7 linked regions of the Mus musculus genome follow. The protein of the gene in region 2 purifies or fractionates together with the protein of the main gene of each other region. This does not show direct contact. Links are inferred from orthologs where the notes say so. Each region holds a gene or a part of one and is shown on either strand. Other genes may lie near its edges.

Region 1 (4,065 bases), on a different chromosome or scaffold from region 2:
TTGTACACCTGGGAGAGGAGATCCAATGATGGATAATCAGATAGGATATCTTTGAGCTAGGAACTGTAACTTGGTGATAGACACCCTAGGGTTCCATCTCCAGCACCCCATATCCCATTACAAAATAATTCTTTTTCCATCTCTAGCATTAAAAAACAAAACAAAGAAGTTCTTCTTTCCTCTGAGAAACACTTCTGTGTGCCTGCTCTGAGAGGCATTTAAAAATGGCCAGGGCTTTAATCCCAGCAGGTCCAGGTCGGATTCCTGTGAATTTGAAGTCAGCCTGGTCTACTACCTATTCCAGGGCAGCCAGGGCTAAAAAAGAGAGACCTTGTCTCAATAACAAAACAATGCTGGTATGATCGCTAGAATTGCAGCAAAGAAAGGGATGTAACTAACAAGGCAAGCCATTTTTGAGAAGCAGTGATTTCACAAGTGTTAGGGATGGGCGCTGGGAGATTGCTGATGCTGGTATTTAGATGAGACCATGTGGGGTGGATTAGATTATTTTCAGGTTTCTCATGTTCAATCAAATGGCTGTACATACACATGTACACATACAATCTTTTTAGTGTAACAAACCTAGAATCAAAGTAAAGCTAACTGTAGGATTGAAGCATATTCTGAACTGAACCCTTAGGGGTGTGAAGGCCGCTTCAGGTTTCCAGAGAATCAACCGGCATTGGATGGAATAAACCAAGGGGCCAGCCCAGGGGCAGATCGGTCGAGCTCTCCGCTACTGAGCTAAGCCCTTGGGTTCTAGAGCCGGGAAGGGTCCCCAACATTGTGTTCCTCTCCCAGCCAGGAGAGCATGGGCTGCGGGAGGCGAACAGAAGGATAGCGGGGCTGACGTCGGGAGGTGGCCTCCGTGGGAAGGGACACCCGGATCTTGACACAGCCTTGGCAGCGGAGTAAGGAAGAGTAGGGATAGATTCTGGCCGCCCTCTTGGCCAGCTTCTCGCCGCCCCACCCTCCGCTAGGGCCAAGAGTAATTCATACAAAAGGAGGGATCGCCTTCGCCTGGGGAAGTCCCAGGGACCGTCGCTAAATTCTCATAACCCATAATCCCGGTACCCGCCCCACCACAGTGCGAGGAGCATGCGCTCAGGGCTGAGCGCGGGGAGAGCAGAGCACACAAGCTCATAGACCCTGGTCGTGGGGGGAGGGGCGCACTGAGCGGGGGGGGGGGGGGTGATGGGGGGGAGGACCGGGGAGCTGGCGCGGGGCAAACTGGGAAAGCGGTGTCGTGTGCTGGCTCCGCCCTCTTCCCGAGGGTGGGGGAGAACGGTATATAAGTGCGGCAGTCGCCTTGGACGTTCTTTTTCGCAACGGGTTTGCCGTCAGAACGCAGGTGAGGGGCGGGTGTGGCTTCCGCGGGCCGCCGAGCTGGAGGTCCTGCTCCGAGCGGGCCGGGCCCCGCTGTCGTCGGCGGGGATTAGCTGCGAGCATTCCCGCTTCGAGTTGCGGGCGGCGCGGGAGGCAGAGTGCGAGGCCTAGCGGCAACCCCGTAGCCTCGCCTCGTGTCCGGCTTGAGGCCTAGCGTGGTGTCCGCGCCGCCGCCGCGTGCTACTCCGGCCGCACTCTGGTCTTTTTTTTTTTGTTGTTGTTGTTGCCCTGCTGCCTTCGATTGCCGTTCAGCAATAGGGGCTAACAAAGGGAGGGTGCGGGGCTTGCTCGCCCGGAGCCCGGAGAGGTCATGGTTGGGGAGGAATGGAGGGACAGGAGTGGCGGCTGGGGCCCGCCCGCCTTCGGAGCACATGTCCGACGCCACCTGGATGGGGCGAGGCCTGGGGTTTTTCCCGAAGCAACCAGGCTGGGGTTAGCGTGCCGAGGCCATGTGGCCCCAGCACCCGGCACGATCTGGCTTGGCGGCGCCGCGTTGCCCTGCCTCCCTAACTAGGGTGAGGCCATCCCGTCCGGCACCAGTTGCGTGCGTGGAAAGATGGCCGCTCCCGGGCCCTGTTGCAAGGAGCTCAAAATGGAGGACGCGGCAGCCCGGTGGAGCGGGCGGGTGAGTCACCCACACAAAGGAAGAGGGCCTGGTCCCTCACCGGCTGCTGCTTCCTGTGACCCCGTGGTCCTATCGGCCGCAATAGTCACCTCGGGCTTTTGAGCACGGCTAGTCGCGGCGGGGGGAGGGGATGTAATGGCGTTGGAGTTTGTTCACATTTGGTGGGTGGAGACTAGTCAGGCCAGCCTGGCGCTGGAAGTCATTTTTGGAATTTGTCCCCTTGAGTTTTGAGCGGAGCTAATTCTCGGGCTTCTTAGCGGTTCAAAGGTATCTTTTAAACCCTTTTTTAGGTGTTGTGAAAACCACCGCTAATTCAAAGCAAAAATGGGAAAGGAAAAGACTCACATCAACATCGTCGTAATCGGACACGTAGATTCCGGCAAGTCCACCACAACCGGCCACCTGATCTACAAATGTGGTGGAATCGACAAGCGAACCATCGAAAAGTTTGAGAAGGAGGCTGCTGAGGCAAGTATAAGGCAAAAGGAGGGATGGGAATTCTTTAAGCAGGGAGTAGAACCTAGGTCTTGGGTGTACTAATTAGAAGTCACTTTGCAGATGGGAAAGGGCTCCTTCAAGTACGCCTGGGTCTTAGACAAACTGAAAGCTGAGCGTGAGCGTGGTATCACTATTGACATCTCCCTGTGGAAATTCGAGACCAGCAAATACTATGTGACCATCATTGATGCCCCAGGACACAGAGACTTCATCAAAAACATGATTACAGGCACATCCCAGGTGTGTAAAATTTACCCATTCCTGACTCAGGATATTTTTTAGTGGGGTGCTTTCTCTGAGATAATGGTATATGATTGTCTTGTTTCTTACAGGCTGACTGTGCTGTCCTGATTGTTGCTGCTGGTGTTGGTGAATTTGAAGCTGGTATCTCCAAGAACGGGCAGACCCGCGAGCATGCTCTTCTGGCTTACACCCTGGGTGTGAAACAGCTGATTGTTGGTGTCAACAAAATGGATTCCACCGAGCCACCATACAGTCAGAAGAGATACGAGGAAATCGTTAAGGAAGTCAGCACCTACATTAAGAAAATTGGCTACAACCCTGACACAGTAGCATTTGTGCCAATTTCTGGTTGGAATGGTGACAACATGCTGGAGCCAAGTGCTAATGTAAGTGACTTTTAAGGTAGTTGAATGGAGAAAGCCGCAATAAGTAAGGAGGTTATAATTGACTGCCTGTGTTTTAGATGCCTTGGTTCAAGGGATGGAAAGTCACCCGCAAAGATGGCAGTGCCAGTGGCACCACGCTGCTGGAAGCTTTGGATTGTATCCTACCACCAACTCGTCCAACTGACAAGCCCCTGCGACTGCCCCTCCAGGATGTCTATAAAATTGGAGGTAAGTAGAATATTAAGTAGAATGTTGACGTGAATTTGAAGTCTTATGTTTTGTGTATTAAATACTTATACAAAACAATACTATTTTAGGCATTGGCACTGTCCCTGTGGGCCGAGTGGAGACTGGTGTTCTCAAGCCTGGCATGGTGGTTACCTTTGCTCCAGTCAATGTAACAACTGAAGTCAAGTCTGTTGAAATGCACCATGAAGCTTTGAGTGAAGCTCTTCCTGGGGACAATGTGGGCTTCAATGTAAAGAACGTGTCGGTCAAAGATGTTAGACGAGGCAATGTTGCTGGTGACAGCAAAAACGACCCACCAATGGAAGCAGCTGGCTTCACTGCTCAGGTGACACATTTTTAAGATAGGTGGCTAGATTGGTTGTGTGTGCAGAATCACAAGGCAAGACTTAAATACACGCTGTTTTTCTTAGGTGATTATCCTGAACCATCCAGGCCAAATCAGTGCTGGCTACGCTCCTGTTCTGGATTGTCACACAGCCCACATAGCATGCAAGTTTGCTGAGCTTAAAGAAAAGATCGATCGTCGTTCTGGTAAGAAGCTGGAAGATGGCCCCAAGTTCCTGAAGTCTGGCGATGCTGCCATTGTTGATATGGTCCCTGGCAAGCCCATGTGTGTTGAGAGCTTCTCTGACTACCCTCCACTTGGTAAGCCTGATCTGAGTCTGCTACACTGAACAT
Region 2 (4,150 bases):
TCTGGAAGGGCAGCCAATGTTCTTAACTCCTGAACCATCTCTCCAATCTGTGATTGTAATCTTGTTCAACAAAAACTAGCTTAGGTAAGAGTACTGTAGTTCAAATCTTAGCCCTGATGGGCCTGTAATTTGTAACAATACTCCTGCCACTGCCTTTCAAATGCTGGGATTCCAGGCATATACCACTATATCTACCTTCAAAGGTCATTTTCTTCCACTATTTTTGCCTTTATGGCTGTCTAAGAAGGAAATAAAAGGCAACTCTATCTACACCCCATTTTAAATGGGATCTTGCCTGATTTACAATGAATAATTCATTCTGAGAGCAAGGTACGCCTCCAAGACATTGTTTTAAGAAACAACTTAACCGGTGGTGGTGCACGCCTCTAATCCCAGCGCTTGGGAAGCAGAGGCAGGTGGATTTCTGAGTCCAAGGCCAGCCTGGTCTACAAAGTGAGTTCCAGGACAGCCAGGGCTACACAGAGAAACCCTGTCTGGGGGGAAAAAAAAGAAAGAAAGAAAAAAAAAAAACCCACAAAAAAAAAAAAAAAACCCCACAAAAAAAAAAAAAAAAAAAAAAAAAAAGAAAAGAAAAGAAACAATTTAATTCAGGAGGCAGAGGCAGGTGGATCTCTAGTTCAAGGCCAGCCTGGTCTACTACAAAGTGAGTTCTAGTAGAGCTAGGGCTACACAAAAAACTCTGTCTCCACAAACAACCACAAAACAATCTACTTCAAACACACCAATGGATGAGATACACAAGTGCCTAAGGGTTCTGAGCCTGCTTTGTATTCACTGGTAAAGAAGACAATTGGGCACACCAGGATGACCACCATTTCTGTAACCTTCTCAACTTCTTCCCATCTGCCCCGAGTTACTTACAAAGATCCATAATGTGGTTCCTGCAGATGGCACAGTTATCAACCACAATGTCCCAGGCCCAGAGGGCCACTGCATTCCACTGCAAGGAGAAGAGGGGAAACAATGCATTTTCCTTGTAATCTAACAGCTCATTAGGACTTCAGCTTGCAGCTTCAGTTACCAACGCCCCAGCCACAGGGCCTACCAAAGAAAGGATGTTTTTGGATTATACTATTTGGACTATATCAGAGGACAACAGCAGACCACCTGTACACTTCCCCATTCCTTGAAAGATGAAGTATATGAACATGGGTATCTTCAATTTTTTATATATAATGTAAAATAATTTAGCTAGCCAAACCAACGTGAGAATATTAGTACTATTTTCTGTACAGCTTTCCCTGACAGCTGTGGAAGAACTCAAAATCTGCATAAGCACGGGCTCTCCACAAAGTTTTGGACTCAGAGGCAAGGAAGTGAACAGACTGAACTAAGATAATAAATGGACCACTAAGTGGATAATCACAGGATAAGCTGGATAGCAAGTTACCTACCCAGTTTCAGTACACAGAACGAGGTCATCACTTAAACCTTAAAAGAGCACTGCAAGCAAAGTAGAATCCACTGCGATTTTCTTTTCCTCTTACCAAGTAAACTGATGTTCTCAACGTTCATATATCCAAACAATTACTTTGTTAGCTCCAGTAAGTCGACCTAAGACTTCTTATGTTAGACAAGGCACCCTTTTCAAGGACTACTTTGGTTTGACTTTCCAAATTCAAGCATAAGAGTTTAGTAAATTCTACATTACATTTTTATTTTTCATAATGGCTGCAGGCTGTAACTGAGCAGCAGTGGCCACAATGAGATGACACAAAAAGGGGGTGGGGTGAGGGATATTCTCAGCGACACGTTCCAAAAATAATCCATAAAAAGAAAACACCTTGCCCTCTTCAAGATCTTCATTTTTAACAGATCTGTGTAATCTTAGGTAGGAATCAACACTTTTAAAGGACTAGCAAACTATGAAGGGGAACGGCATACAAAAGGACGTTTCATATTTTTGTTTTTCTGTTCTCAGGTCATTAGCAATTAGTACTCCACCTTCTTAAATGGCACAAGTTCTGGGCTTGCTTTTAAAACAAAGCCCACCAGGCTTTTAAATTATCATTTTGTGTTAGAAGTGTACAGGGACATCAGAGAACCACTGGAGTGGCAGATGCTATGTGACAACTAGTAGCCATCTCGTTAGAACCAAGCTTTACACTTGACTGTGGGTTTAGAGGCCAATGGAGGCCGCCATACAATCGAGGGCCCACGCCAGGTCCCTCGGAGTCAATAGATTCTAGGATCCAGGAAGGGGCGGAGCAAGAACACCGGCAGAGCCCCTCTGCGCTGTCATCTCACGTTCCCGGGGTTCTCCGCACGGCCCCATCCTCCACCCGCCGCAGTCTCTTCACGAGTCTGCATCCCACCCACCCCACCCTGTCCTTCCCCCACCTCTCAGTCACTTCAGTGACAGCTCAAGCGCTTGGCTCCCGCATCGAAGTCAACCTCGCGTATTTCAGTAAGCAGCTCTGCGATTGGCCCCACAGCTTCCCCAGCAAGACTAATAGGGCCCCAGACACTGGGCCACCAGCATGCCGATCAACCCTAGGCCCGCCCCCCGGCTTCCGTTCTTGGTGCCCGGTCCCAGGAACGCCCTGAAATGAAGCCCTTTCCCCCGCGCCTAGCTCTTCCTCGGGCCTGCCAGCCATATCCGCGCCTCCCTAGCTTCCTTGAGGAAGGCGCTGGCGAGCCCAACCTTTTTAACTTCAAAGCGCTTCTTGCCCGCGCCGCTGTTGGTGCCGCTGGGGGTATCCACATCCATCGCCGCCGCCATTTTGGAAACACACAGTCTGTCGTGTGACCACTGCGCCTGCGCACCGGCTCACTTTCCGCCGCCTGCCCCGCACACCAGGCGCCTCCTCCCGCACCCCTCCCCTCATTGGCGCGAGCGTGGAGAAGGGGCGGAGCCTGCGGTCACGCCCCTTAAAGGCGCAGGCGGAGGTTTCCCGCCCCCCTCCTCCCCATCTCTCTCAGCTGGGGAGGAGGCTGGAGTGATTGAGGCGGGGCCGGGCGGGGCCGGGCGGGGCCGAGAGAAGGGAGCCAACCGGTGGGAACGTCCGTGAGGTCTCGATGCTTCTCGCATTCTGGGAAGCCCTGTGGTCTGACTCCTTCATTTGGGGCGGCGGCTGCTTCCTTCTTCTGCCCCAGGACTTAAGCCCTGGTCCAGATCCACAGAGCTGCCCCCGAGTCCGTGGTTGCAAAGGGCATGGGCTGGTCTTTGGAAACCCGAAACTCCAAACCGGCCTTCTGCTGACCGTGGTCGGCTTCGGAGCCAGGCGGTGTCTCTCTGGAGGCCTGTGGCCCGGCTTACCAAGGCCTGGTCACCGTCTGCGTTATCAATTTCAGATTGGGAAATTATTTGATAGGGAGAGAAGAGGCCCAGGAGCAAACAGAGCAGGCATTCTGCAACTTTGCCTTTATCTTCTCACAGGAAAGGTGATGGGGATGCCATAGTAAATCCCATAACCAGCCAGTTCTAAATGGTCCTCCTTTCTCCTCATTTCCTATCGAGTTTTGCTACTGTGCTACGATTAAATTAGTACATTTGTAGTGGCTGAACTTGAGTTCTGGTGAGGCATTCTGATTTTCTTACCGGTCATTACCATCGAGCTACAGAACACATACGTTTTGTAAGCTTCCATGATTAGTCCAGCCCTCCGCTGTTTTGTCTCCTAAATTTGCGGAGTTATGACTAGAATACATCACCCTTGAATTTCCTGTGTGTTCTAGTTCCCTCAACAGTACAACAAAAAGGGTTTTACCGGAAATGTGCCCCTCCCCCCCCCCAGAAAGGGTTTTTCTCTGTGTAGCCCTGGCTGTCCTGGAACTCAGGACTGGACCTAGGCCGGCTTCGAACTCAGAAATCTGCCTGCTTCTGCTTCCCAAGTGCTGGGATTAAAGGCATGCGCCACCACTGCCTGTCCTGAAATGTTCTGTTAAAAGAAATACTTGCTGGTGTGTAATGCGGTGTGTCATTGATGCACTTGCTAAGCAGGGCAATACATCCTGAATACCACCACAGTTTTAACTTGCACAGAGACTTGTGAGAGCCCTGCAAGGTGTGTGTGTGTCTGCCCAAGTTCTACCTCCCACACTAAATCTGTCATTGGTCTATGTGTCTACAGACCCCCTAAGGGATGCTAGAAACCCATAGTTAATTAAGATACTGAGGACATATTTA
Region 3 (3,500 bases), on a different chromosome or scaffold from region 2:
AGGGAAGGATGGCAGCACTTACCATTGGTGTGAGCTCACTGTGACCCAGGAGGTCCTTCTATCAGGGCTACAGAACCTGCATGGCAAAGGCTTGTGCATGGTGCTCACTGAGAGCCACTCCTGTCAATGTGCAGACATAACACAGCCACACCACCAACCACAGGACAAAAGCTGAAGTCTTCCTTATGGTCCAAATGGGATCACTGTGGGAGGGACTGGGGCTGGGAAGCAGGAATCCCAGTGGGCTCCCCCCTCAAGGGGAGTCAGGCTGTGAGACAAAAAGACAACTTCCAGCTCTTGGTCTTACTGGGTCTTTTAAATCCTGACCATGGCAGTGTTTAGAGCTATCCCTTGTTTTGTTTTACTAGACACTGAACAGTAAAACTGCCCCAGTTCCGAGTGAACAGAGGCATCTGTCAAATACATGTGAGCATCAGAATGAAACTCTACAAAAGCTAAACTGTCTGTTCCTAGCTCTCTCCTGCCTGCCTGTCAGACAGTGACCCCCGCCTCTGTGCCACGTGACCATCTGAGGACAGAGAGCTGCACAGACAAACCACGCTCTTGTCATACCTTCCCTGACTGCATGGGGGCAGAGCACACTGTAGGAGTAATCCACTTCTCCCCAGAGCAGTGCCCATCACACTGCGATCACAGAGAGCGTGGATGCTGAAGGTGAGCCACTGCAGAATCAGGAAAATCCATGGTTTAAGGGACAGCACCGCACAGACACTGTGCCAGAGGCCTGAGTTCTGCAGGCTGCCCCAGGGAACTGAGCACAAGCAAACATCATCCGGTGCCTCTGCTAATCCTGGGCTCCAATCATGCTGAGCAGCCCAACATCTTGGGCTGTGGGTCCATCACAAAGGCCAGCTGCTCCAAGCTAGCACTGTAGACCCGGGAACACTGCCACAGCTATTCAGGAAGCACAGCTAGAGAACAAAGATGGTCGACTCCATGGGCCAGGGGTGCCTGATCCAGGGATGCATAGTACACACTATGGTAACTCGGCACCCAGACTGGAAATAATGCTTAGAGCTGACCTGCCCCAGCAGGGCTGCCTACTCCTGTTTCTGTAGAAACTCACTTCTTAAATACACCTTTGGCTGCCCATTTAACTTCATCTTCCAGCTGGGTTTCTAGCAGGCCAAGAGACTCAGACTGGCAGTGGCAGCCATTCACTTGGAGGTGTAAACGACCTCTAAAGCTCCCAGTCAGCCCCAGGATGGCACCTGACTGCCAAGGCAGGATTTACACCTCATGAGGGGTTCTTAGCTTGTGAAAGTGTGGCTGGTCCATAGAACAAATGGAAGCCCTGCACCCCAAGTCTCTCTACAGCTGACAGCGTCAGGTCGTGTTAGAGGAACACTGAGCACCGCAGAGCTGATCTGAAGCAGCAAGCTTAGGGAGATTAAGCAGTGACCCCAGGTGTTTGGTGCTTGGTATTCAAATCTAAAGATCCCACAGAGAAAGGGAGAGAGGGGACCGGTTCCAAGTCCCCAAACCTCCTTGCTCAAGGCTAGCTCTTCTGCTCCCCTGGCTCATGCCAAAATGATGTGTGCTCAAATTAAATACAAATTTGGCAAAGACAGATGAATACTGCCATATCACCAAACCATGTCTGCTTGGTGAACAAGACTGGTGGCAGCCCTGTGCGAAGTCTCCCAAGCTGGCTCAGCTTCCCGTGGCATCCTGGAGCCAAGCTCCCAATCTACACTGGCGTCCATGGACCCCCTCAAAGGCTCCTCCTGACTCTAGGTGAGACAACTGTGTAGGATGAATGCTTTCTGCCATGCAGACTGTAGCGTACCACTGCTGTTCACTTAGCTGTTAGGCCAGAAAGGAAGCAGGAGCTCACAGGGTGAGCCTGCCACGTAAGCAGGAAGGAGGTTGGGACCATGGTAAGAACAAACTCTGGCCCTGAAGTCACCTCAGTGTTTGCACGTGCTGCTGTGTTGTGTTGTGTTAGAAGCTGGGGGTGGAAAGATGGCTCAGCAGTTGAGAGCATTTACTGCTTCTTACGAATGCCTGGAATTAAGATTACCAGCTCATAACACTTACAACTCCTGCTCCAGGGAATCCAACCTCTCATGAGCACATACCCAAACACAAAAAGTAAAAGAAGGAGAGGAGGAATAGGAAGAGGAGGAGGAAGTAGAGGAGAAGGAAGAGAAAAAGGAGAAGGAAAAGGTGGAAGAGGACAAAAGAGAGGAGGAAGAAGAGAAAAAGAAGAGAAGAAAAAAGAGGAGGAGGGGAGGAAGAGGAGGAGGAGGTAGAGGAGGAGGAGGAGGAGTGGGGCTGGAACCCAGGGTCTCATGTCCACTAAGGGAATGTTCTATTAAGCTATAGCCTCAGCCCAGCAATTGGATTGAGTCACAACTTAGCTTGGAAAAACAGGAAAGTCAATTCACCACTCTGAGGTGCTCTTGACTTCTTGGGGCATGAAGGAAATTGTAGTCCCGTCTCAGGGGGCTGTTGGAAGCTTCATGAACAGAAGCCCTGGGCATCGTCACTCTAGTCCATGTCAGACCAGGGTCCTCTGAATGCAAACTAATAAGCACAGTAAGCGCTCACCAGCTTCTGAACTTCAAACTCCGAGGCCACATGCCAATGCCCCTCCTCGTTGGGGTACAACATCACAACGTCAAAAGCAGAAGCCGTGGCAACAATGGGCTTTTCTTGGCTCAGCGCAAGGGCTTGTATTCTTGCGTCATGCTCAAAACGAAAGATAGGGAACCTTCCGGTTCTCAGGTCCCAAATGTTAAGGATCCCTAGAAGGAGAAAAGCAGAGAACAACCGTAAAGCTGGTACACACAGACACAGAGCAATCATACAGTTGCTTTTTGGATTACTGTGTGAGGATGACAGTGTATGGCTCTTTGTCTGAGCCTGCACTGCTGTCCTAGTCAGCATTCTGTCTGACATCAGCAGTACTTACACAGGACTACTGGGCAGGCCTTGGGAGACTCCCATGATTTCCTCTATGGCTCGCCCATAAAGCTAGCCCTAGTTCTGACCTCCCTACTGCCAACAGTGGCACGAGTCACTCTTGGTCTCTGTGCATCTCTAACTGAAAGTGCCCAAGTCCAGATTCTTGCTCTGATGTAGCACCCTGCACATACAGTTAGGTGTTGCAAGACTTCCACATGGCTGCAGCAAACAGCCACAGAGCTCTCTTCCATGGAAGGGCTTAAACACGCATGCACTTCTCTAAGAACTATGATCAAATGAGGACAGGCAGGTCACAAAAGGCTCCATGACATGGTCCCCCGGCATATACTTTGGTAACTCTCTCTATTCTGCCTCAGAGGGAGATGATGTGCTACAGAAAATAAACATCTCGGGGGCCACTCATTAAACAGGACCTAGTGTCTCCTCTCCAGAAGGTCTCATCTTGACACGGCCTCTTCCAAGTACTGCTGCTCTGTATCTGTTCCAAGGCATCACAGTGTGGACTGCATGTGTTTTAAAGCATCACACAGTGGGAACTGCTACGCAGA
Region 4 (3,500 bases), on a different chromosome or scaffold from region 2:
GACTCCCTTCTAGAAGTGTGCTGATGGGAGCTGTTGTTATTTGGGCCTTCGTAATTATAGGCTACTCTTCCACCTTGATGAAAAAGGATAAAGTTAGCATTAGAACTGAAGTCAACACATCCAGGAGCTTAGCTCTACCTGTAGGAAAGAATGCAGTCCTCGCCCTCTCTGGGCTTTGATGTTGGGGCAGGGGGGGTCACACATGTACAGGACAACAAGTCTCCACAGCACCCTATTATGACAGTGATCAAAAGGGTCTCGTTTGCCCTCCTAGATCTGGGATAAAAGCACACTGGAATGCAAGCGGATTCTCACGGGCCACACGGGCTCCGTCCTGTGTCTGCAGTACGATGAGAGGGTGATCATCACAGGCTCCTCAGACTCCACCGTCAGGTAGGGACTCTCTGCTGCTCCTTTGAACGCTAAGCCTCCACTTTGTGTCACGGTGATTCTTTTCTGAAACCAAAGAATAAGCTGTTAGCTTCTGGTCAGTTACTTGTCGCTCTGGAACCAACACTTGATGTGGGACCCATTGGGTAGAATCTACTTTGGCACATTTAAGAAGCTACACACAGATTTTAATTTGGAGGTACACCTGTAGAGGAACTTCCCTCTCTTTATGGGAAGCCTTACATTCCTTATGAAGCTAGCTCAGGGGAATGGCAGGAAGGGACTGAAGCCTGTCTTTCAGGTGATTGTAACTGCAGTGCAGGTATGCAGGCGCTCTTTCAAGTGGATACAGGTGAGCAAGACTCGCTCCTTGCCAGCCCTCCCCTGCCATCCCCACAGTGTTTAATTGCAAGCTTTACTCAAGGAGGGAGCCCTCAATTTCCAGAGGCTCTGGTGATTTGATGACACAGCCATTATGCTGCTGGAGTCCAGTGTAGCTTGAGTTCAGGGTACCAGCAGCACTGCTGGAAACCTGCTAGGAATTTCACCTTAAGCTAAAGGATTTAGCCAAAGTAATACATCAAAAGTAACGTTTAAAAAAACAAGCGTAGACTAAACGGCAGTTGTCTGCATTGTCAGTTCTCTGCGAACAGCAAAGCCTGTTCCTCTCACTTGCAGGCACAGCAGAGCCCACCCTGGCAGGTGTTGGCAGTCGACTCTTCTCCTGGCTTGGAGGCCACAGGAGCTGCAGCACTGTAGAGGCTTAGGTCGTTTATAGAATAGGGGAGATGATGTCTGTTGTTGTCTTGGCAGTTTAGGGATTGAACCCAAATCGTCTAAATAGCCTTCTACCTCTTAGCAACACTACAGCACAAAAAAATAACTTTCCAAAAGGAGGGTAAGCTGCAAAGGAGAAACAAAGTGCTTTTAAACATAAAGTCAATATGCAAATAGAGAGTAATGTAGGTAATTCTATCTCGGCAGAGTTCTCCAGCTCGCCAAGGGTCTCCACTGCCATGAAGCATGGGCTTAGGGTGAGAAGGAAGGCTCATCTTGACCAACTTGCCCCTGAAAAGCACAAAACTGGAGCCTTTAACTTAGAGTCTGTGTAGGAAGAAAAGCTAATGTTTAGGACAGTGAAAGTCAAGTCCGCATTGCTAAGTCTGTGTGAAACATCTTGGCCCAGAGTGCAGTGACTGGGACAGATACTACTGCTGTTCTTCATGAGATTCCTAGCTTATATGTGTCTTTTTTATTGAATGTCAGTGTTAAAATAATAACCCAAAAATTTGGGCCAAATTATAAGGTGACAGTGACTACCTATGTCCTCCTCTCTGGGCACTATACAAGAAGCACCCACTAAACCTGCCTTTCCTGTCTGTACACATGAACCATGGTGTTTCCTCATGGTTCCTGTGTACCCTGCCTGGGGCATGCAGAACAAGAGCACTTGCCATGAAAGCAGGAGGTGAGCCAAGCATGATGGTGCACACCCTTAGTCCCAGCACTGGAAGGCAGGGGCAGGCGGATCTCTGTGAATTCAAGGACATCCTGGTCTACAGAGTGAGTTCCAGGACAGCCAGGACTACACAGAAACCCCCGTCTCCAAAAGAAAAAGAAAGCAGGGGTGACATGCATTGATTGATTGATTGATTGATTGATTATCCCATTGGTGGTCAAGAATAGGCCGTGCGTTGTACTAAGTACCATCTGATTCCTGGGTGTCCTTTTCAGAGTGTGGGATGTAAATGCAGGTGAGATGCTAAACACATTGATTCACCACTGTGAAGCCGTTCTGCACCTGCGCTTCAATAATGGCATGATGGTGACCTGTTCCAAAGACCGTTCCATCGCTGTGTGGGATATGGCTTCCCCAACTGACATCACCCTCAGGAGGGTGCTGGTGGGACACCGAGCTGCGGTCAATGTTGTAGACTTTGATGACAAGTACATCGTTTCTGCCTCTGGAGATAGAACCATAAAGGTAACAGGTCACTTTTCAGTAAGTTCACAAGCTGCAGTAGGAGTTTGTGTAAAAGCGTGATTGAGGGCAACTGTATACACAAGCCTTGTTGTAGGATACTGTAATAATTAAATTCAATTTTTATTTCTATAAACAATGGTTATGGGCTGGAGGTGTAGCTTAATGACGGCACTTACCTGGTGTGCCCAAGAGCCAGATTGGAAAGATAACAGTGCCACTGATGATGGCAGTGATGGCATGCATGGCGAAAGCCAAGCCAAAGTTAAGTTCAAGGACACATCCGTACTGGAGCTGGGGAAACGGCCAGTGTGAACAGGCCTTGCCGCATATGCGTGAGAACCGCCATGGGAAAGCCAGATGTGTCACCATGAGGTAGTGATCTCATTGCTCAGAAGGGAGCGATGCCAAACCCTGTGGTCGCTGGCCAGTCGTTCTAGCCAGATAGTAAGTTTTGTATTCAAAGTCCCTGTCTAGGAGAATGAGGTAGAGGGGTTGTCAAGGACGCCAAGGTCCTGAGTTGAGTTGTTAGCATGACGATAGTGGCCCAAACCATCTGGACCTCTAGCTCCAGAGGCCCCAATTTCCGGCCTCTGGATTCTGGCTCACATGTGGTACACACAAACTCAAGCAGTTACATATACACATAAAAAATAAGGTGGAAGGAACTAAGGCGGACACTAAGTATGCAGACTCAGGAAAGGAGGCTAATTCATAGAGCAAATCATTGGGCAGTCTCATGTGACAGCAGCCGGCTTCCCATTCGTCCTGTGTCACTCTGGCTCTTGCTTTCCATTGCTGTTTCTTTGAGGCATTGGCCTCCTCTGATGAGTCTCTTCTATCGCCCGCTTCCTGTTTTTACTAGTAGAAGTACCCGATCTACTGCTCAGCTGTCGCTTTTGTGTCTCAGGTGTGGAACACAAGTACCTGTGAATTCGTAAGGACCCTAAATGGGCACAAGCGTGGCATCGCCTGTTTGCAGTACAGAGACAGGCTGGTGGTGAGCGGCTCCTCTGACAACACCATCAGGTGAGCAGCTGCCTTCCCAGAGCACATCCCCACCACCTCCTCCACCCTTTGTGCACAGAGCTCATGGTTCTTACCTGTCTCCTTTCCGTAGCTAGGACAG
Region 5 (4,187 bases), on a different chromosome or scaffold from region 2:
ACGGCACATTCAGACCTGGCACCCGTGGCTACAGCCTCACACTCACACAGTCCGAGTTTCCGAGCCTGCTAAGGAGATAGATGTGTGTTAAGTGGATGGTATGTGTGTAGAAGTGGTGGTCCATTAAGACTCTTGGGTTAACATCCTGGGATTTTTCCCAGTTTCCCTTTTGAAAGCAGCCAGTGTTTCAGGTTGATTTGTGTGCACATGGAGAAAACAAGAAAACCAGTGTGCTGAGCCAAATTGATCACCCATCTATGCATCCACCTCTAACTGTGCCCCTGCTGCGTTCAAAGTCCACCACACGTTCTAATTAAGTAAGCAGTGACACAGGGAAGGGGGGGGAGTAGAGTTCACCGATCCATCATTATTAGAGAAAAGCACACACAACCACAGGTGGATCCCAGGGAGAGCCTGTGAACCAGTGGCTTGTGACTAACTGTATCCCACATGCCCCGCATCAAAACACCTGTGTGTGCGCACATTTAAGCCAGGACTGAACACTTGTAGTTACTGACTGGCAGGGGCACTGTTCCAGACTGAACCAAACCTTGGTTCATTCTGCCGTTAACAAGCATTTCTATAAACAAATTGGGGGGTGTCTATTTGTAGTTCCCATTGGGGACTGAGTTAAAAATGTGTTCAAAGTTCAGATCTGCTCTTTCAAAACTTGAAACGCCTTGAAAACGCTGCTCATAAACTCCTTTAACAGCAGAGTGGGAAATCAGAACTAACCTTCAGAAAATAACCTTCACCAACCTAGAAGAACTAAACAAGCACTGTCAGCTACACTGGTCGGCTCACAATCTGCAGGGACTGGAAATACGAGAGGGGACAATTCCCTAGCCCTACAAAAAGTAGTGAATGGAACGGACACCGATTTCCATGGGACATTTCTGGACAAGGGAGAAAAACAACGACTAACTCCGAACCTGAAAAGAAACACACATCTCAGCCCTTACAGAAAAGCGACACACGACTCGAGCCAGGCTTGAGGCTGCCTCCTGGGAATCGCAGTCCTCAGGAGGCTGGACGGGAGTTCAAGGCCAGCCTGGGCCGCATAGTGAACCTCCTCTCTCGGAACAAAGAGCCACAGTGATAAACAGAAATGCTCAATGGCTAGGAGCAGCTACGGCAGCTTTTAACCTTGGTTCCTTAAAAAGGCAGTTCCCTGCACGGCATGCACTTCTGCAGCCTCCCTGGGAAACAGGCACCAAGAGGTTGACAGTGCATAAAGCGCCTAACAGTCTCAAAGAGTAAGGCTTCTCTGGACCTAGTGGACACCGCCCTGTGTCCCTTTCCGCTCCTCAACACCCCACTCCCTCTGGCTTTAAAAAAAGTAGGGCTAGCAGGGACAAATGGCTCCGTGTTGTTGGACGGGAGGAGAGGGGACACAATGACTCTTATAAGCATGCAAGCAAAGGGCTGTGTGAGCAGTGAAAAGGGAAATAGGAACAAGAGCTGAAAAGCTATGGCAGGCACACACGAACGAGCGCGTGCGCGCACGAACACACATACACACACACACACACACACACACACACACACACAGAGCATGACCAAGCCTGATGCTTACGTGCTCTGAAAAGAACCGCTTGGAGAAGGAAGCTACAATCTTCCGGGCTTCTAACCCAGCTTTCTGCCGAACTTTATATTCCTCTAACCAATTGACGTAGTCGGTGGGGCTGTAGTGCTTCATCAGGGAGGGCCACCTATAAGGGGGGGGGGGGGAGAGAAAACACCCTTTCTCAGCTCCGCAGAGACTGCAAAAAACCACGGAGGAGTCTGCGGGCAAGGGGGGGGGGGTGGACTTGGCAGAGGCTCTAGTTGCAATAATCATAGCGTATGCAATGCATTCCCTCACTACTCAGATGCAGTGACCTTGGCGTGGCGACACGAAAGGCAGCGTTTCTACCACCAGTAGCCGCCGCCCCCCCTCCGCCCCCCAATCTCTGCGCTGGCCACAATCACAGTGATGCTAACGGTTCTCGTGGATGGCGCGCCTCCCTCAGCATCAGGCCCTGCAAACCCGGGCCTCATCTTATTTGATTCCCCATAATGGGAAAAAAAAAAAAAGGAGGGGGGGTCTCATCACCGACCAGGAGACCCAGGCTCTGGAGAAGGGAGGTGGACCGACATCACCCCCTCCACCCCCAAGGTCACGAGCTGGACTGGCAGGTCCGATGCCGGCATCCTAAGGAGCTAGCCAGGAATGCACGCACCGCTGCTTTGCCTGCACGTCAACATCCTGCAGCGGCCACAAAAGATGCGCCTCCTCCTGCAGCCGGGAGGCGCGTGAAGGCCGCAGCCCCCCGGGGCGGAGCGCTCCGGAGGCCCCGGCCTCGGGCGGCTGCCGCGACCCCATCGGAGCTCCGGAGGGGGCCCCCCGGGCTGCAGGCAGGCCTTTGTCTGCGGCCGCGGGAAGAGGGCGGCGCGCGGCCCGGAGGCCCGGAGGGTGGCGGGGTGGGGCCCCACGCGAGGCCCGGCGCCGAGGGGCTCTGCGGGTCCCGGGAACGGGATGCTCGCTCACCTCACCCGGAACTGCTCCTTCCACACCTGCCCGCTGCTCTGGCACACCTCGCGCAGGCGGCGGCAGGTGCTGGACACGCGGCCGATGTCCAGCGCCGTGAGCGAGCCGCTGCACAGGATGTACTCCAGCACCTCGCCCGGCAGCTGCACCAGGCAGCTGGGGCCCGTCGCCTCAGCCGCGGCCTCCTCGGCCAGCGCCGGCACCACCTCCATAGCGCTGTCCCCCGCTACCGACGCCATCTTGTCCGCGTACCTGAGGGGGCCGCTGTGCGGGCGGGCGCGCGCGCGATAGGAGCCTAAGAAGCCGTACCACGCCCTCAGGGGGAGTGGCTGGGAACGCCCCGCCCACGCCAGGGGGTCCCGCCCACTCCGCTTGGAGGACTGGGAAGAGCCAGAGGCGAGAGCTGGCTGCTGCTGCAGAGATAAATGGTCCTTTCGCGTCCTGATTCTCCCAGGGGCATTTTTAAAAATGATAGCTGGGTGCTCGTCTTCGGCAGCGCAGATACTAAAACTGGAACGATGCAGAGATTTGCATGGATGCTGCGCCTAGGATGACACGCAAATTCGGGGAGGCGGTGGCACCTTTGATCTCCGCATTTAGGAGGTGGAAGTAGGCAGATCTCAGAGTTCGAGGCTAGCCTCAGCTATAGAGCGAGTTCCATGACAGCCAGAGATACACAGAGAAACCCTGTCTCGAAAATAAATATATCGAGGTTGCCCGGGCAGTGGTGGCGCACGCCTTTAATCCCAGCACTTGGGAGGCAGAAGCAGGTGGGTTTCCAAGTTCGAGGCCAGCCTGGTCTACAGAGTGAGTTTCAGGACAGCCAGGGCTACACAGAGAAACCCTGTCTCGAAAAACAAAACAAAACAAAACAAAATTGCCCTTTGGCCTTCACCTTCTCGATGGGACATGAGTCCACATAGACAATAACTAAAAGTTAAAAATGACTATGGTGGCTTACTTCCTAATTCCCAGCTCTCAGGAGACCGAGGCACGCAGATCAAAAGTTGGGCTATCTATATTAAGATCCGATCTCAAAAGCAATTTGAGACAGAGTCTGATGTAGTCCACTCTGGTCTTGAATTATGTATTGGAGAAGGACCTTGAGTTTCTGGCCCCCCTGCCTTTACCTCCCATAGCTTGTATTAAAGGCATACACCACCAAGATGTACTTCAGAGGTGGTAGTGCGGGGGTGAAACCCAGGGCTTGGTGCCGGTTAGCCATGCACTTTACAGCCATGCCATAGTCCCAAAATTAAGCTGTTGAAAATGGCTATCTTATACCAAGCACTTCCTGGAAGTGATTTGGCCTTCTCCACGGGTGACTCACTCTCCACTGGGTACTGAGGCAAGCATACTATTTGTTTTTGGGGACCCCTATTTCTAGCTCTATGATGGTGTGGAGAATAGTAGTAACCCCTGAATCTATGTCCTGATTTGAAGCAGGTCGAAGTATCGTGGGGAGCTCTCCTCTGTGTGACTGGGCTCCTTCAAGCCGCTGATCCCTTTGACTCTGCCTCCCAAAATGCTGAGTGTGATTTTAGAGGTGTTCATGGTGTCTGCTTTTAATTGTCTTCCACTCAACAATCCTTCATGATTTGGGGGACATATATGCCCTCTCTGGCAATACAACAATTACCATATGCTCTGGCTGTCC
Region 6 (4,074 bases), on a different chromosome or scaffold from region 2:
TTTCTAACTCTTCTCTCTCTCCCACTCTCAGCCTGGAACTATGCAGCTCACATGGCCTTTGGGCCTAAGATACTCCTGACTTAGCCTCCCAAGTGCTAGACCACAAGCATGCACCACCATCCCTCGAAGGAAGCGACGGAATCAGACAGGTATGCACTTGGACCCTATCCATATTTCTTTGTCCTACAGGTTAGTTCCAGAACTCAGCCCTTGAAGGTCCAATTCTCCTGCCTCAGCCTACTGAGTGATAGGATTACAAATCATCTAACAGTAAACCTGGCTTTACCTTAATTTCCTCCTTATATGGTTTCTGTAAGGATTTTTGTTTTGTTTCATTTTGAAACCTGGTCTATTTAGTGGCGGATGATCCAACTCAGAAATCCACCTAATTAAAGGTGTGTACCACCATGATATTTGGGAGATAGGGTCTCTCACACTGTAGCCCGGGATAACCTCCCAACATATAGCAATCCTCCTGCCTCAGCCTCCTGGATGCTGGGATTACAAGTGCCCGGCTGAATCCTTTAACTTTTAAATTTCCTCATCTGCCTTGGTTCCACTCACACTTTTCTCCTTGCTAATTTGGGATCCAAAGACTAAAAAAATGACTCAATATTTATTTGTAGTAACCATGGCCAAAAGTCTGGTCATGCGATCTGAAACTTCTATGGGAAGAAAACCTCAAAAGCCTAACCAATACACTTCCTTTTCCCCCTTAATCACTCGGGGGTTTGTTTTCTTTCTTATTGAGACCGGTTCTCATGTTGCTCAAACTGGCTTGGAATCTGCGATGGAGCTGAGGCTGGTTTTGAACTCCTGATTCTCCCCTACCTCTACCTCCAATACGCCGGGGGGTGGGGTGGGGGCATGTGTTACCACTTCCTGCCCCCTTACCCTTTAAACTTTTCTTCTGCTCTTTAAAAAGAGTGGATAAGTTGTTGGACTATTTATAGCCTCGTTTCTCTCCTTTCTCCCTTATTTTTTCTTTCTGCGAATTCTCGCCTTCCGCTAACGCTCACGTCGCCGCAGGAACTCGGGGCCGCCATCCTGCCTTGTCCTGCAGCTCCCGGGAGGGTCGCTCCCCCGGACCTCCGCAGAGCCGAGGTCCTCTCCGCACCCTGCATTCACCGCTCTCGCACCCATAAAGATGCACGGACAGAGCGGAAGATGGGCGCCGCTCTCGCGCCTCCCGCGGTCCGGAAACGGAAGCAGGCCGGAGCCGCCCGGAACCCGCCTCCCGAGAGCGGAAGTACGGCCGGAAGCTGGCCATAGAAGCGAGCGGCTAGAGCGGCCCTGCGGGGAGGTGGCAGGAAAGGCTTGGGAGCCGCTGCCGGAGGTGACGGAGCGGCCGCCCCGCCCCGTGCGCTGGGAGACGAGGCTTCCAGGTAGCCGTCGGTTGCAGTCGGTCCGGGGGTACGACCTGGCCTTGGGCGCAGACCCCGGCCGGTCCCGGGGCTGCCTCTTTAAGGGAGGGGGTGGAGCCGCGAGTCAGGCGCGAGGAGGTGAGGTCACGTGGGGGCGGCCACGTGCACGACTCGCGTCCCGAAGTGGGGGTTCGTCGTCGTCCGGTAGACACCATGTGCTATCTCTCCCTTCCCTGGTTCATCAGTCTTGGAACTCAATGGGGTGCACGTGGTGGGGCTTGGGACTGGGCCCGGGATGACGGAGCGGGTGGGCGTGGCAGCCAGGATGGGGCTGGCTTGGAGGAGCCCTCGAGTTGCCTTTTAGACCTCAGGACCCCACTTACTCACTGCGGATGTGGCGGGGTCCCTCTTGAGCGTGCAGCTCCCGTCCCTTCGAGCTGACCACCCTCGCAGGGTCCAGGGACCTTTAGTTTCACGTTCCTCTTTCCTTGCAGCTCCAGAAATCTTGAGGCCAGAGCCCCGCACCTCGGCGCAGCCATGAGTGCGGAGGTGAAGGTGACAGGGCAGAACCAAGAGCAGTTTCTGCTCCTTGCCAAGTCGGCTAAGGGGGCGGCACTGGCCACACTCATCCACCAGGTGCTGGAGGCCCCTGGTGTCTACGTGTTTGGGGAACTGCTGGATATGCCTAATGTTAGAGAGGTGTGTTGCTTGCCTGGGTAGTCCCCAAAGAACGTTGGGACCAAAGTTAACTCTTGAGTGCTGGGCTCGTTTTTTGTACCCAGTAACCACTCAGGTGATCGGGGTACCGATAATTAGCTCTCAACATGGAAAAATAAATCAATCAAATAAAGGTCTTCATTATCTTACAGATAAAGGGTCTGTAAACTTAGTGCTCCCTCCCTCTGTACCCACACTTTGAGTCAGGATTTCACTGTGTAGTCCTGGCTGCCCTAAACTAGTAACTATGGTCTAAGGTGGCCTTGAATGTGTGGGAAATCCCTGCCTATGTCTCATGCATAATTTTTTTTGTTATTTAAAAATATGGAACGCTTTACAAATTGGAGTGTCGTCTTTGCTCAGGGGCCATGCTAATCTTCTCGGGATCGTTCCAGTTTTAGTATATGTGTTGCTGAAGCAAGCAGAAATCTTTAATTTTGAAGCAAAAGAACAAGTCATTAAGAATACCACTGATAAACTCCAGCTTGTCCACCAGTATGATATCTTTTTGTGTTGGTTTTTTTTTTTTTTTTTTTTTCAGGACAGGGTTTCTCTATGTACTATAACTGTGTTCTGGAACTCTCTCTGTCGACCAGGCTGGCCTTCAACTCAGAGATCCTCTGCCTCTTCCTCTCGAGTGTTGGGATTAAAGACTTGTGCTACCATGCCTGCCTAGTGATACCTCTTAATAATCCTGTCACTAACATTTGGGAGGTAGAAAGAGTTGGATCTCTGAGTTGTAGGTCAGCCTGGTCTACAGATTGAGTTCCAGGACAGCCAGGGCTACACAGAGAAACCCTATCTTAAAAACAAAATAAGTCAGAAAACCTGGATCAGAAAACCCTCAGTTTTCTCTTTAAAATGGTGGTGAGAATCTAACTGCTGATAGAGTAGTTGCTTAGCACTTGTGAGGCCTTGGCTTCGATTTCGGAACTTGGGATGCTGAGATAGGGGACCACAACTTTTTAGATCAGCGTGGGCAACTTAGACTCCATCTCAAAAAGGAGTGGGGGTCTTTTCAGTGAAAGAGCCCTTGTCTGTAGTTTGCAAGGCTCAGTATAGGTTCAGTTCTCAGAACTGCAATGAGGAAAAACCTAAAAAAGCACACAGTTCCCTTCACGGTTACAGAAGTAACATTGTGGGGAAGTCTAAAGTCCCCTGAAATCAGAAAGAATGAGCATATTGAATTATGCCATGGTACCCCACCCCACCCCCAAAGTGTCACACATTCTGATTCATTTAAGGTAGAAAATGAAGATGCTGTCTTCTGCCCTAAGACGGTAGCAAAGCTATGAACACAGTAATGAGAACCACTCACAGAAATGGCTGCGTCAAGAACTTAGAAAGCATAGAGCAGGTGGATTGCCACTCTCGTGACACCAGCCTGTCACGAGAGCCTGACCGAAGTGTGTGGCTAAACTGAGCCAAGCATTAGAAGACCTTTGGTTGAATCAGGATAGAAAGTTACTTTGACTGCTGTTTTACAAAACACTGGCTTTTGTTGCTGATTTTATCCACAGTAAACTGAAGTATATCGTTAGGATGAAGTAGATGCCAGTGAAAGAGATCAGATAAGTGAATGAAAATATATGTCAGCAAGTCAGCCATTTATCAGTTATTTACTGCGAGGGCTGCAGCTCTGCTGGGTCTAATGCCTTGTTAAAAGACTGTTAAGTGAGAACCTACAGGGATGGTATGCCAGGATAAGTGGGGGTGACAGGAAGGGAGATGCTGTGGATGAAGTAAGCCCTCACTATGAGGACATTGCGAAGCAGTGGCCACACTATACCCTCTGGGGGCCACACAGTTTACGATGTCTGGTGTACGCGTGTGCACCTGTAATAGTCACAACACTGAAAGTTTTAAGCTCTGAGAGTAGGAATTAGCTGCTTAGCGCAGCAAAGGGCCAGAGTAGAGATGAGCAGCTGAGGGACCAGGATAGGTACTGTTGGGATGGATGGGGTAAGATCAGGGCCTTCTTGTCACTTCCTCC
Region 7 (4,224 bases), on a different chromosome or scaffold from region 2:
CTGAGAAAAGTTATAAATCTAACGAACACACTGAAAAATACATGAAAATCTGCGATTCTTCAGGGAGTGTCGATATAGCTTTTCTGGACCGTGGGTTGGGCACCTACCAGTCCGCCTTCTTCAAGGAGTCCACGACTGCACCTCGGCCCAGGAGGTAGCGCACGCAGTCCCGGTGGCCCATAGAGGCAGCTTCGTGCAGAGGCCGCTTGTAGTCTCGGTTGGTAGCCTCGATGTCCATACTCCAAGCCTCCACTAGGTACGCTAGGATATCCTGGCGTCCGTGGCGTGCTGCACAGTGGAGAAGGGTGTCTCCGGCTGGCCCCCGGCAACCTCTAGCTACCGCCAGTTCCTCCTGAAGGTCACGCAGTCGGCCCTCTTGCACCAGCCTGCAGAGGCGCCGCGGATCCCCAGGCAGAGCCATCGCCCTGGACCAGGATGGACAAAAGTAGGAGGAAGACCCAGGTTCAGTCTTAGAGCAGATCTGTGCTATGATAGGTTGGGAGGTGAGAGAAGGCTGGCGCTTCCGCTTCCGCTTCCTCCACGTGACCCTTTTCCCCGACTCTCGGCACCGCCCCCTGCCCGCCCCCAGCCAGATTCTCTCCGCTAGCGTCTTTAATGCTTCTTGCCCTGGTTTGGAAGTCACAGTCTCCAAATGTAGAATGGTGTCCCCTCAGGCGACAACATGCACACTCGTAGGTCATTCTGGTTACCGCGCATCACACACGCGTACTCGTCAGGGTGGGGCCTCGGGCTCCCAGGGCTTGGGGTAAGGCTGTGTGCACCTGACATCCTGGAGCTGTCCCTTGCACCCGAGTGAACTGGGAACGGAAGACCTATCAGAATGGAGGGTGCCAGTGTACCGCGAAGTCCTGCACGCGGGACTTCTGGCCTCGCATCCCAGATGTGGTCTGCTCTCCACCGGACAGCTTCTGGGAATGTTTGCTGGGCTGCTCCGGTGGTAGCTGCACAGGCAGTCGAGAGCACGCTGCCCACCACCCTGGAACCTAGCTGGCCCACCCCTGGCCTGAGGATGTCTGCCGGACTGACAGCCGCATCCTTCGGCTGACCAGGCTCACAACAGCAAGGGTTTCTGGGGCCTCTCAGAGCTGGAACGGTGTCCTTGTGCTCCGCCCGATCCTCACCCAATCCGCAGCCGACCCCAGCCCCCTCCCCGCCCGCTGCTGTCTCCTGGGCCCCCGCGGGGACCCAGGGAGCTCTAAGGAACTCTGGGAAAGTTTCCTTCGCCTCCTCCGCGGTGGCGAAAGCACAGACGGGGCGTGGCTCTCAAGACACTGAGCCACGCCCCCTCCCGCTTCGCGTACGGATTGGTTCCAGAGTCTGTCCGTCCGCGTGACCCTTCCAGTTCGGAGTGCTTCGATTGGTTCACGGGCCTGTCCGTCGTCTCCGGTGGGAGGGTGCGTCTTGGCAGCGAAGAGGCGGAGCTCGCGGAGGAAGTCTGCAGTCGTCTGTGCTCGCTGTCTGGGCCGAAGGAGGGGCTTGCTGGTCGGGGAAAGGCTGAATGTCCGGCGGCATCGCCTGGGTGGTGTCGCCGCCGGGGTCCTGGGCCGGGCCGCCATAGTGCGTGAGACCGTGGACTTGGCGTGGGGTGCGAGCCGGGAAAACTTCCTATTGTGGGGTCTCCCGCGCAGGGGTCTTGGCCTCGGGGGTGGGGCCCTAGCTGAGGGTGGGCGTAGGAGCTGGCCGCGCCCGCGGTGGTCAGGAGTGGGCCTGCAGAAGGAGGTCGGATGCTCTCTGCAGACCCGCATCCCTTGGCCGCTCCCTGAGGCTCCGGAAGGGGCAGCACCTGAGAAGACAGATCCTCTGCCGCTGGCAAGCCTGGCTTGTCTCCACTGTAATGTTTTTGACCTTGGGCGAGTCATTGTATGCAGCTCCTGACGTTGGTGTTCGCCTTGGTAGTCTCCCACCCCCTCACCTGAACAGGTGATGGTGGTTAAGGGGACGCGAGAAGGCCTGGGGGGCTTTTGGAGGGTTCTTTGAGACCCGAGCCCGCTTTGTTGGCTTCCTTTCGAGGAACTAGACATTTAACCTAATGGTGTTTCCGTTTGGGAAGTAAAATGGAAGTCGCTCCTGCCAGGTTTAAAACAATTTCTTTGCATTTGGCAGTACATTCTGGTTCACTAAGCGCCTGACATTGTCTATTCCATAAACAGCCCATAGGTAGCATTCAGGTTTTAGAGACGAGGAAGGACGTCAAGGCCAAATGAAGTTAGTGATTTTTGCCACGTATTGGAAAGTTGAGGCATCTGATAGTTTCAAACTTTTTGCTACTTTGCATGGTTTTAAATCTCAACGTTTGGGAGACTGAAGCAAGAGGACCTTGAGTTCGAGGTTCGAGGCTAGTCTGGGCTGCCTACTCCTTCCTTACAAATGATTTCACGTGGTCTTGCCTTATCTCTCTTAAGTTTCTGGTCCTTTAAACAAAACCGAGAATCCTGGTTTATAAAAAGATGAAATTGGTTATTTAATTGGTATTCTAAATTAGATTCTGCCTCTCCTCTGCTCTATGAATTTCCTTTGCTCTGTGTTTTCCTTTGGGAAACTAGATATTTTTGGTGAATCTGCCTCCATAGCCCTGGTGATTTTTCTGGAGAGCGGTGGGTATTTATGCTTTAAGTTTATGAGTAGGGCTAGTACTTCTCTCTCTGTCTGGTTGAGCTGCCCATTTCTTCAGTGAAGGTCTTTGGAGGCCTTCAATTCCCTTGTAACTAACTGTCAATGGAATTGGGATATTCGATCTGACTTTTGCTGTGTTTCATGGATCTTTGGTACTTAGATGTCGTTGAGGGATCAAGGGATCAGTCCTTTAACATGTTTCCTGGTTTATGAATACATAAAAGTATTTGAATTCTAATTTCAAATGTGTTACTGTCGCATACACACACACACACACACACACACACGCCCATCTTATATTTCTCTGTTCCCCCAGGCTGACTTTAGTTTAGAAAAATTTAGATTTTTTCTTTGCTGTTCTGGTTTTGACAAAACTTGTAGAAATTATCACCAAAGCCAGCTCTTACATTGTCAATAGTTATTCGCATGCTCTTTGAAGACTTTTGATGTTTCATAGAACTCGAGGGAGCTTTAACTGGGTGTTCTACAGAACCTCTTAAAATAATCTGGACATGATGGCACACAGTTGATCAGCCTAGCATTTAGTTGGCCTAAGACCCTACTTCAGCAAAACAAAGCAGACCAACCACCAATCAAAACAACAACCAAACCACAAGAAGAAACCCTGAAAATTATTTTTAAAATGGAAACTTTAGGCCTTTCAGTGTATGAAAAATTATTAGAGCAGCCATTTCTTCCTTTGCTTTTTAACATAGCTAAAATCAGCTCCCTTAATGTTACACAAGCAGAGTCAGTTGTCCTCCATTTTCCTCTTGGTCTTCACACCTTGTTGATACTCACCTGTCCTTGCTACCCAACTTCTGTTCTCCGGCCTTCTCCAACTCTTGCCCAGCTGGTACCATGACTTTCTGACTTATTTTGCTGACAATCTCCATGCCTAGCTACCCTTGGCTGTGTAATGGCCTTGCTTTTAAAAACAGCACGTTACTCTGAATTGCCTATGCAATGAGTAAAGGACAGTGTCTTTAGCAGTATGTAAGAGGACCGTTGTAGTCTCTGGATCCAAATTCATTTTCCAGCCTGTCAGTTAGCGTTTTGTTCTGAAGAAAGGAAACGTTTCTGTCACACATTGTGCCATTCCTTTGTTTTTCATTCATATTGTTTTCTTGTGCCTAACTGAATCCCATTCATCACTTAAGGCCCATCCCTTTATGGAGATTCTTGTAACAGTCCTAATTATATTTACTACCGTAGGCCCTTATGTGTATATTTATGTAGTGCTTGGATTGCTGTGTGTTTAGCAATTTGTGTTTGTTTTGGTAGCTGCCTTATGGTCAGGCTTACTTATTTTTGTATGCTCTCCAATGTCTAAAATAGCATTAGCAACAGGGATACCATAAGGAAAGCCCTCATGGAGTTCATAGTAAATCTGGGAAATGGAGAAAAATGAAGAGGTTGAGGAATGAGTGAATAAATAATAGAAAATGGTTATCAGATATATGAAGATATATTGTGGACAGTAAGTAGTGATTTCTCGTTTGTTTGTTTGTTTGTTTTCTGTCATTCTGTCTGAGGAACACAGAATGAGCCGTTCAGCCCATCTTTTCTTGCAGTAATAAATGGGGGCTG

Evidence for each region.
Region 1: the proteins of Rbx1 (region 2) and Eef1a1 purify together in Homo sapiens (affinity purification with western blotting; 3 studies listed by BioGRID, with this or other methods). This does not show direct contact. The link is inferred for Mus musculus from reciprocal best matches to the Homo sapiens genes RBX1 and EEF1A1.
Region 3: the proteins of Rbx1 (region 2) and Fbxw8 purify together in Homo sapiens (affinity purification with western blotting; 6 studies listed by BioGRID and IntAct, with this or other methods). This does not show direct contact. The link is inferred for Mus musculus from reciprocal best matches to the Homo sapiens genes RBX1 and FBXW8.
Region 4: the proteins of Rbx1 (region 2) and Btrc purify together in Homo sapiens (affinity purification with western blotting; 5 studies listed by BioGRID and IntAct, with this or other methods). This does not show direct contact. The link is inferred for Mus musculus from reciprocal best matches to the Homo sapiens genes RBX1 and BTRC.
Region 5: the proteins of Rbx1 (region 2) and Fbxo21 purify together in Homo sapiens (affinity purification with mass spectrometry; 3 studies listed by BioGRID and IntAct, with this or other methods). This does not show direct contact. The link is inferred for Mus musculus from reciprocal best matches to the Homo sapiens genes RBX1 and FBXO21.
Region 6: the proteins of Rbx1 (region 2) and Cops7a purify together in Homo sapiens (affinity purification with mass spectrometry; 3 studies listed by BioGRID and IntAct, with this or other methods). This does not show direct contact. The link is inferred for Mus musculus from reciprocal best matches to the Homo sapiens genes RBX1 and COPS7A.
Region 7: the proteins of Rbx1 (region 2) and Fbh1 purify together in Homo sapiens (affinity purification with mass spectrometry; 3 studies listed by BioGRID and IntAct, with this or other methods). This does not show direct contact. The link is inferred for Mus musculus from reciprocal best matches to the Homo sapiens genes RBX1 and FBH1.

What each region holds. Positions count from the first base shown.
Region 1 is NC_000075.6:78,478,925-78,482,989, reverse strand, and holds the start of Eef1a1 (elongation factor 1-alpha 1), read left to right. Parts: upstream 1-1,265; 5' UTR 1,266-1,351; intron 1,352-2,301; 5' UTR 2,302-2,335; coding exon 2,336-2,479; intron 2,480-2,569; coding exon 2,570-2,749; intron 2,750-2,841; coding exon 2,842-3,138; intron 3,139-3,215; coding exon 3,216-3,366; intron 3,367-3,455; coding exon 3,456-3,712; intron 3,713-3,797; coding exon 3,798-4,032; intron 4,033-4,065. UniProt on the Homo sapiens protein: Translation elongation factor that catalyzes the GTP-dependent binding of aminoacyl-tRNA (aa-tRNA) to the A-site of ribosomes during the elongation phase of protein synthesis.
Region 2 is NC_000081.6:81,464,966-81,469,115, reverse strand, and holds the start of Rbx1 (E3 ubiquitin-protein ligase RBX1), read right to left. Parts: upstream 2,801-4,150; 5' UTR 2,744-2,800; coding exon 2,666-2,743; intron 962-2,665; coding exon 883-961; intron 1-882. UniProt on the Homo sapiens protein: E3 ubiquitin ligase component of multiple cullin-RING-based E3 ubiquitin-protein ligase (CRLs) complexes which mediate the ubiquitination and subsequent proteasomal degradation of target proteins, including proteins involved in cell cycle progression, signal transduction, transcription and transcription-coupled nucleotide excision repair.
Region 3 is NC_000071.6:118,092,959-118,096,458, forward strand, and holds part of Fbxw8 (F-box/WD repeat-containing protein 8), read right to left. Parts: intron 2,772-3,500; coding exon 2,575-2,771; intron 1-2,574. UniProt on the Homo sapiens protein: Substrate-recognition component of the Cul7-RING(FBXW8) ubiquitin ligase complex, which mediates the ubiquitination and subsequent proteasomal degradation of target proteins.
Region 4 is NC_000085.6:45,513,734-45,517,233, forward strand, and holds part of Btrc (F-box/WD repeat-containing protein 1A), read left to right. Parts: intron 1-274; coding exon 275-393; intron 394-2,124; coding exon 2,125-2,374; intron 2,375-3,281; coding exon 3,282-3,400; intron 3,401-3,500. UniProt on the Homo sapiens protein: Substrate recognition component of a SCF (SKP1-CUL1-F-box protein) E3 ubiquitin-protein ligase complex which mediates the ubiquitination and subsequent proteasomal degradation of target proteins. Recognizes and binds to phosphorylated target proteins.
Region 5 is NC_000071.6:117,975,383-117,979,569, reverse strand, and holds the start of Fbxo21 (F-box only protein 21), read right to left. Parts: upstream 2,801-4,187; 5' UTR 2,770-2,800; coding exon 2,531-2,769; intron 1,713-2,530; coding exon 1,577-1,712; intron 1-1,576. UniProt on the Homo sapiens protein: Substrate-recognition component of the SCF (SKP1-CUL1-F-box protein)-type E3 ubiquitin ligase complex.
Region 6 is NC_000072.6:124,962,713-124,966,786, reverse strand, and holds the start of Cops7a (COP9 signalosome complex subunit 7a), read left to right. Parts: upstream 1-1,274; 5' UTR 1,275-1,385; exon of another isoform or gene 1,386-1,502; intron 1,503-1,520; exon of another isoform or gene 1,521-1,635; intron 1,636-1,858; 5' UTR 1,859-1,901; coding exon 1,902-2,063; intron 2,064-2,399; exon of another isoform or gene 2,400-2,504; intron 2,505-4,074.
Region 7 is NC_000068.7:11,774,786-11,779,009, reverse strand, and holds the start of Fbh1 (F-box DNA helicase 1), read left to right. Parts: upstream 1-1,424; 5' UTR 1,425-1,577; coding exon 1,578-1,578; exon of another isoform or gene 1,579-1,941; intron 1,942-4,224. Other genes in the region: Ankrd16 (ankyrin repeat domain-containing protein 16), read right to left, coding at 108-421. UniProt on the Homo sapiens protein: 3'-5' DNA helicase and substrate-recognition component of the SCF(FBH1) E3 ubiquitin ligase complex that plays a key role in response to stalled/damaged replication forks.